Mus musculus: one gene and its partner. Each later gene encodes a partner of the first gene's protein in a complex. Links are inferred from orthologs where the notes say so. Each region holds a gene or a part of one and is shown on either strand. Other genes may lie near its edges.

Evidence for each region.
Region 2: Zbp1 (region 1) and Aim2 share a complex: the UniProt entries of both Homo sapiens proteins name them as parts of the AIM2 PANoptosome complex. The link is inferred for Mus musculus from reciprocal best matches to the Homo sapiens genes ZBP1 and AIM2.

The regions. Positions count from the first base shown.
Region 1 is NC_000068.7:173,208,883-173,212,529, reverse strand, and holds part of Zbp1 (Z-DNA-binding protein 1), read left to right. Parts: intron 1-263; coding exon 264-431; intron 432-1,796; coding exon 1,797-1,994; intron 1,995-3,280; coding exon 3,281-3,502; intron 3,503-3,647.
Region 2 is NC_000067.6:173,419,095-173,423,505, reverse strand, and holds the start of Aim2 (interferon-inducible protein AIM2), read right to left. Parts: upstream 2,903-4,411; 5' UTR 2,820-2,902; intron 1-2,819. UniProt on the Homo sapiens protein: Sensor component of the AIM2 inflammasome, which mediates inflammasome activation in response to the presence of double-stranded DNA (dsDNA) in the cytosol, leading to subsequent pyroptosis.

The DNA.
Region 1 (3,647 bases):
ACACTGTGGCTAGGACACACAGGTAGAGCGCCTGCTACAGGGATTTCAGGAGAGGCTCCAGCTGTGTCCATCATACACGAGTATGGAAGGCTGTGGCCAGCTGCAAGCAGCTCCTGAATCTTTCCTTGCACCCTCTTTCTCAGGCCCCCAGGATGGGGTCTGGGTTCAGGTGTCAGCAAGCTCCCAGGGAAGTTCAGTGCTGTTGATAAGAGACACCTCCTATGTCTTCAAGACAAAGAACTCAATGGAATATTATTCTCTAGCTCATTCTGGAGTCACACAAGAGTCCCCTGCGATTATTTGTCAGCACAATCCGGTCAACATGATCTGCCAACAAGGAGCCAACAGCCACATCTCCATTGCCAATTCAAACGCCATCCAGATTGGTCACGGGAATGTCATAGTAAGAGAGAAAGCCTGTGGTGAGCCAGGTAAGAGGAGGGTCCTGGCTGAGGGGGACTGAGAGGGGACCTGGTCCTCCAAGGAGAGAGCAACTGCCTCACCTCCTCAGGCATGCCTTAGGCACGGCCTTTCTCAGAGTGAGACCCAAGGACCACACCTCACCTGCACTCTCACTAATTTTGCTCCTTCTCAATGAGATCAAAACCTTTTGTATGAGAATAATTCGGCTCCCTCTCTCTCTCAGCAGGACACAGTGAGATGGTTACTGCAGTTCTCTGCTCTGAACACATTCCCGTCTCTCAAATTGTGTCATGAAAAGTTGGGGTCATCTTACACTCAGTGGCTTCTTATCTATATATCTATCTACTTACCTACATATATCTATCTATCTATCTACCTACCTACCTACCTATCTACTTGCCTAAATGTGTGTGTTTGTGTGACTTTGTGTATGAGTGTGTTTGTGTGTGCATGTATGTGTATGTTTGTGTGTGTGAGTTTGTGTCTTTGCATGTGCATGTATGTGTATGTTTGTGTGACTGTGTGAGTGTGTTTACTGGAGCCTACTCAGAAGCAGAAGATGTTGTCAGGTGTCCTGTTCTGTCACATCTCATCCATACAGCGTCTCTCACTGAACCTGGAGCAAGACTTGCAGACAGGAAGTTCCAGTGAACCTGTCTCAGTGTCCCTCAGCACTTGTGGTACAGTTGCACGCAGCCAGGCCTGGCTTTTACATGGGTGCTGGGATCCAACCCCAGGTCCTATGTTTGCAGGGCAATGCTCTTACCATTCCCAGCCAACCCCCAGCCTCAGCATCCTGGTTTTGATGCAAGTCGGTGCTGTTCAGGGAGTGTTTCCTCTGTAATTCGCATATGGCTTAGAGGGTGTGGGGCCACCTTACAATCTGTCCCTGTCAGCCACGCACAAGAGCATCATCAATTCCAAACGCAAAGTCTCTCCATGCCCTCAGAAGAAATCTGTTCTACTGTAGGCCCATTGCCCCATCATGACTCCCCTGGTTTTTATGGCCCTCCTTCCTGTCTGGCTATTTTACTTAGGAGTGTTAAAGGGCTCAACATTTTCAGATTCAAATGTGTTTGAAAGTTTCTGCGTTCCTTTAATTTGAAAATCATAAGAGAAAGACTAAAAACTGAGCACCCGAGAAATAAACACGGCCAGGACCCTTCTCAGGAGGGTTGGTGGACATATTCTCCCTTGGGGGCCTTTCCTTTGATGGGGTCAAAGGTTAAGGAGACCCAGCAGGCAGGTGTCCCAAAAGTACCTTGGGCCCCACTGAGAATGCAAATTGCCCAACTCCAGCTGCTTCAGGTGCTGAGCCTGTGAACAGATCGATCTGGAGTCTCTAGCAAATCTTTAATCTCCTTCCCTCCCAGGTCCCAGGACCTCTCACCCTCTACCCTTGGCATGGGACGCCTCTGCTCAGGACATGCCCCCTGTTGCCCACGGAGCTCAGTACATCTACATGGACAAGTCCTTGCTCCAACAAGTGCAGCTTGGCCACCACAACGAGATGAGCCTCGTGGGGGATGCAGGGAAGCACCCCTCTTATAGCTTTTCTGACAGCCCCCCAGGTATGGTGGCCTCTGTCACCCCACAATATTTAGAAAGAACCCAGAAGCCTGAGTTTTTGCCAGGAGAGAACCATGTGGCAAAACTCATTTCTGCCTTGAGAGGTATCGCTGAGGAGCGCCGAGGTTTTAGATCTGGCACTCGGGGTCCTCAGGCTCCCAGCACCCACGTGCAGTCAGTCAGCACCTACAAATAGGAAGGAGGCTGAGTGGGAGGAAGCCGGGTCATAGGGGTGGCGGAGGCCTGGATGGTGACCTAAGGAAATAAAGGAAGCCAGTAGCGAATTGTTATAACAGTGTCCCGATGACACAGTGACTTGAGAACCCTGCCAGAGGCCTGCCAGCAACTGTAGATTCTTAGATGATTGGAGGTTTCAGGGGGACTAACAGAGCCAGGGAGAAGTGTTTTCAGAGAGGAATTGGTCAGCGAGTCAGAGTGTAGCAGCGGGACAGGCAACCAGGGCTCTGCGGTCACCTTCCATGACAGTTTCTTAGAGTGGAGGGAACCTACATGTAGGGGGTTGGGAAAGCCGTGTATGGACATTTCCTGACTTTTGAGGGTGAAAGTGAAGTGGTGACAGCAGGGTTCAGGGGACACTGAGGTGAGGCTGGGGCTGGGAAAGAAAAGGTATGGACCATAGTAGGACTGCATGAAAAGGTATGGACCATAGTAGGGCTACATGAAAAGGTATGGACCATAGTAGGACTGCATGAAAAGGTATGGACCATAGTAGGACTACATGAAAAGATATGGACCATAGTAGGACTGCATGAAAAGGTATGAACCATAGTAGGACTACATGAAAAGATATGGACCATAGTAGGACTGCATGAAAAGGTATGGACCATAGTAGGACTACATGAAAAGATATGGACCATAGTAGGACTGCATGAAAAGGTATAAACCATAGTAGGACAGCATAAAAAGGTATGGACCATAGTAGGACAGCATGAAAAGGTATGGACCATAGTAGGACAGCATGTTCTTCATCTGCCAGCTGGGAACTGGCCACAGAGTAGATGGAAGGCTCCAGAGGTCCAGAAGAAGATGTTGAGATCAGAGTGGTTTTGCTAAGCTTGGGGCAGGGTGTGGGGATGGTGCTGGTTTCCAGTCCAGTGGGGACATGTTCCGGGACACGAGGTAGGGTGTCCAGGCAAAGTCTATGCGCCAGATCTGCAAGGTTACTGGTGAGAATGAGTCGTGAGGATGGGACCCCCAGGTTGGGTGCACATGCCAGGGCCCTCTGCAAACTGCCCGCTTCTCCTGGCTTCTCTCTTTGCTTTACTAGAAGTGTCAACCACCACTGCTGACCCAGGAGCTTCATTCAACATGCAAACATCTGAGCCAGGCCCTCACCCTGAGGGAGACACAGTCCAGACAGTCCACATCAAATCCTGCTTTCTAGAGGACGCCACCATTGGTAACGGCAACAAGATGACCATCCACCTTAGGTCAAAGGGTGAAGTCATGGAGTCTGGAGACAGTGAAGAGCCGAAGAAGGAAGACACAGGTGAGCCTGGGCATGGGTGTCTGTGTGTGCCCCAACCTCATTCATTCACCCTGGCTTCAAGCATCAAGGCAGTGGCCTGGTGTAAGGACACAAGGGTCTGGAACTCAGTGAGTTGACCAAAAGCCAGCATATAGATCCAGGCTGC
Region 2 (4,411 bases), on another chromosome or scaffold:
ATTAATTCCCCATCAGTTAAATACACATAGTAGGAGATGGTACTGTGAGGATTTAATATGTAGCATGGCAGAGAGATCTCTACAAACTCAGCACCATGCCAGTACCAACATGCCTTCTCCTGAGAATGATTGCCACAGGATGGGCTGCCCCCACCACAGATTATGCAGTTGCTTCATGGGAGTATCCCAAAAATCCTGTGCTTTGCTCTACACTCCCTATACACTTGTCTGTGACTAAACAGCTATCCCTATGGTGTAAAAACTTCCAAAACTCCTTTTGAAAATAAAAATGGAAAAGATATGCACTTGAGGGATAAACTAGTAAATCAACTGCTGTTGTTCACCAATCAGTTCGTTTTGTCCAGTAAGGCATCTTGTAAGTCTTAGAGGAAATGAGTCATGAATCAGGCAAGATTTCTTCACTATCCCCACAACAAATACAAGTATGTATAGCTGTGTAGTGTACAGGCTGGGGCTGTGTAGTGTAACTCAAGTTGGTCGTCAGACTATGTCTATTTGAGGAGGTAACATTTAAACAATTACAGAGATAAATAGAAAGAGTAATTCTTATATCTTGGAGCTAGATCTAAGGGAAGGTATACAGCCTTATCTATGTACTAAATCACAATGGATTATTCACTTTGCAGTGACTGGCTGTATGCTAGTTTACCTTATTGAAGCAGTAAATGTGATGTTATTCAGTTTCACCAAAAAGTACATCAGAAAGCATTATTCTGGGATAATGATAAATGGCGTTTCCCCACAAGATGTATAAATGGGACTTTTAAAAACATGACTAACATAATATGCATCATTCTGTGTAAAGAATAATCTTAAGTGTATTTTTAAAAAGAAGAAAACAAACATGGAAATATCATATGAAGCGATATAAGATGGTTACACAAGATTCAAACATTTCAACTGACAGAACGCACATGAATTAGACTCATGGGTTTAAAAAGAATGCTAAACTGGAATAAAACCCACTGTGGTGCCTGTGGTGTTTAAAAAAGACACAGTGGGGGAAATTGAAGTGCTGAGTAGCTGCAAAGCAAAAAATACGTGAACATATGTATCAGGCACTAAGCACAAAAACTCTAGTTAGAGCAGCTCTATCAATATTAGTCAGAGAAGACTATAAGACAAATAGTGCCATTAAGGACAGAGTTGCTATACAACAATTAAATGTTAAAGTCATCAAGGTAATATAACCAACAATTCTAAACAGTAAGCACCTCATTGAATAAAGTCAACAGTTGTAAACAAAATTTGACAGTTCTCCACTAACAAATGGCAAATGTACCATGATGGTCAGAAATTACAAAACATTTCCTTCAGTAACTAACGCTTTAAATAGCCAAGAATAAAATAAAACAAAAAGCAAAAAAGTAGAAAAGTTGAACAACATAATTAACAACTATGTTCTGATACTTAGAAATACTTACCACACTTTCGGTAAGGGCACAAAGGTTATCACTGAGTTCCAAAGAGTAGTTACTGTATTAGTTTCTTTTTTTTCTTCAATTTTTAATATTTAAATGTATTTTATACATCAAACATATTAATAATATTGAGCATTTTGAGAATCAAATAGTCTGTAAAAATGTGTTCAACTTTTATATTGATATCCTTTCATACCCTAAAAATATCATTAATGAATATTTAATACAGGAGAACACAGTAAACAGCTATAAGCACTTAAAGAGGCAACACAAAAATCTCTTAAAGAATTACAGGAAAAAACAATCAAACAGGTAAAGGAAATGAACAAAATCATCCAAGATCTAAAAATGGAAATAGAGACAATAAAGAAATCACAAAGGGAGACAACCCTGGAGTTAGAAAACCTACAAAAGAGATCAAGAGTCATAGATGCAAGCATCACCAACAGAATACAAGAGATAGAAGACAGAATCTCAGATGCAGAAGATACCATAGAAAATATTGACAAAACAGTCAAAGAAAATGCAAAAAGCTCTTAACCCAAAACATCCAGAAAATCCAGGACACAATGAGAAGATCAAACCTAAGGATAATAGGTATAGAAGAGAGCGAAGATTCCCAACTTAAAGGGCCAGTAAAGATTTTCAACAAAAATATAGAAGAAAACTCCCCTAACCTAAACAAAAAGATGCTCATGAACATACAAGAAGTCTACAGAACTCCAAACTGGACCGGAAAAGAAATTCCTCCTGTCATAATAATCAAAACACCAAATGCACCAAACAAAAAAAGAATATTAAAAGTGGTAAGGGAAAAAGGTCAAGTAACATAAAGTCAGACCTATCAGAATTACACCAGACTTCTCCACAGAGACTATGAAAGCCAGAAGATCCTGGGTAGATTTCATATAGACCCTAAGAGAATACACATGGCAGCCCAGGCTACTATACCCAGCAAAAATCTCAATTACCATAGATGAAGAAACCAAAATATTCCATGACATAACCAAATTTACACAATATTTTCTCATAAATCCGGCCCTACAAAGTATAATAGATGGAAAACACCAACACAAGAGGGAAACTACACCCTAGAAAAAAGCAAGAAAGTAATCTTTCAAAAAAACTAAAAGAATATAGCCACACAGATATAATTCCACCTCTAACAACAAAAATAACAGGAAGTAGCAATCACTTTTCCTTAAATATCTCTTAGCAATCACTTTTCCTTAATATCTCTTTTCAGTTCCCCGCAAAAGACAGAATTGGATATGTAAACAGGACCCAGCATTTTGCTGTATTAGTTTCTTTTCTGTTTTGATAAAATGTCATGAACATTAGCAACATAGGGGAGAAGTAGGTTTTAATTTTACTTACAGGTCCATGAGGGTGGATTTCATCACGACAAGGAAAAAACCTAGCAGCTAGTTAAGGAAGCATGGCGGCAGACAGGACAGGAAGCAGGCAGGACAGGAAGCAGGCAGGTTGTGATTCTTGCTCAGACAAAGAAACAGAGTTACAAGTGAGACCGCCTATCACCTCTCACAGGCCGCCCTCAGTGACCCACTTCCTCCAATAAGGTTTCTCCAGTAAGTTCCTCCTTGTGAAAGTCCCAAGACCTTCCGGAGCCACCAGCCGGCATATATTCAAACCTCAACAGATACCATAGGAATGATCCTTCCCCCAAATTCCAGGGATTTAACTATGGAAATGGGAAAGCAGGATCCAATTGGAACTAGACTGAAATAAACTTGCTATTACCTAATAAAGTAAAGGAAATAGAGATTAAAAGCACATATAATTTTTAAAAGATGCCATGTCACTTGAACATTTGGGATTATGGAGTAACATTATCTGCTTGGCATTTCTTTCTTTTTTTTTTTTTTTTTTTTCTATTTGATTCCGTGTCTGATTTTTTTTTAATTGTTCTTTTGTGTTACTACCATGCTGGGTTTTTTTTTCCCCACATTTTTTTTATTAGATATTTTCTTCTTAGATTAAGGTTACTTAGAATTTTGAGCTCTGATGCTTTCAAGCTAACGTTACATCACAGGCTTTCTGTCATGCCATTATTCTCACCTTTTATCGAGAAATAGCTCCCTGGCCCCTATGTTTCTTCCCCCTTCAGCTAGAAATCAAAAGCCCTCTTCTAAATATAAATTCATGTCAATAAAACACCTACAGACCAACACACCCAGAAAATCAGAGTTCCTTTTAGGCTCAGTCTGGGTCAACCCTCTGAACAATATATTCTAATTCCTGCCACGGCCAAATGCACTTTCTTTTGTAAAGGTCTCAGTTGTGGTGCAATAAAAGATAACTTCTGTTCCTCAGTCAACTGAAGGTTTAGAACCAGGCTTCCTGCAGCCTTATTCTTTTCTAGAATACAGTCAATACTAATCCCTCTTTCTAACCTCAGAAACCCAGGACTCTCTTTCCTCTTAATTTACTGATTAGCAAAATGGTCCTAAAGCTTTCTCTAGAAAACTTCTGACATATCTTACTTACCTCAGGGGATTTTCTTCTCTCCAAAGCAGCCTTAGTTCTCAACTCAGGGACTGGTGTATGTCCTGAGAGTTCAAACCATCCGCCTCACAAAGATTTTCACTATGAGTAGTAGGACATGAAAATCATGAAAATCAGGTCTTGGGAGACAGAAAGCAGAAAGTACTCTCAACTATCTTCTTTCACTTTGAAGCTTGGCTAGTCCTGGCCCTATAGCTGAGTCCTAAACCCTGATGCTGGGGCAAAATAATTATATATTAAGGCTCTGCCCAAGCAAATGCTAGTTTTCAGTTTCCTTTTTACAAGCCTCAGCAGAGTTTCTCCTCCAGCTGTGAGGTCTCAACCAGAGGTATTTTAGATATAGGGAACTCCACAAAAGTTATTTCCTGCTTTACCAGGGAGTTCATAGCCTAAGGGACAAGCCCAGCCCAATGCACACCACCCACTCACTTACTGGTGGTTGG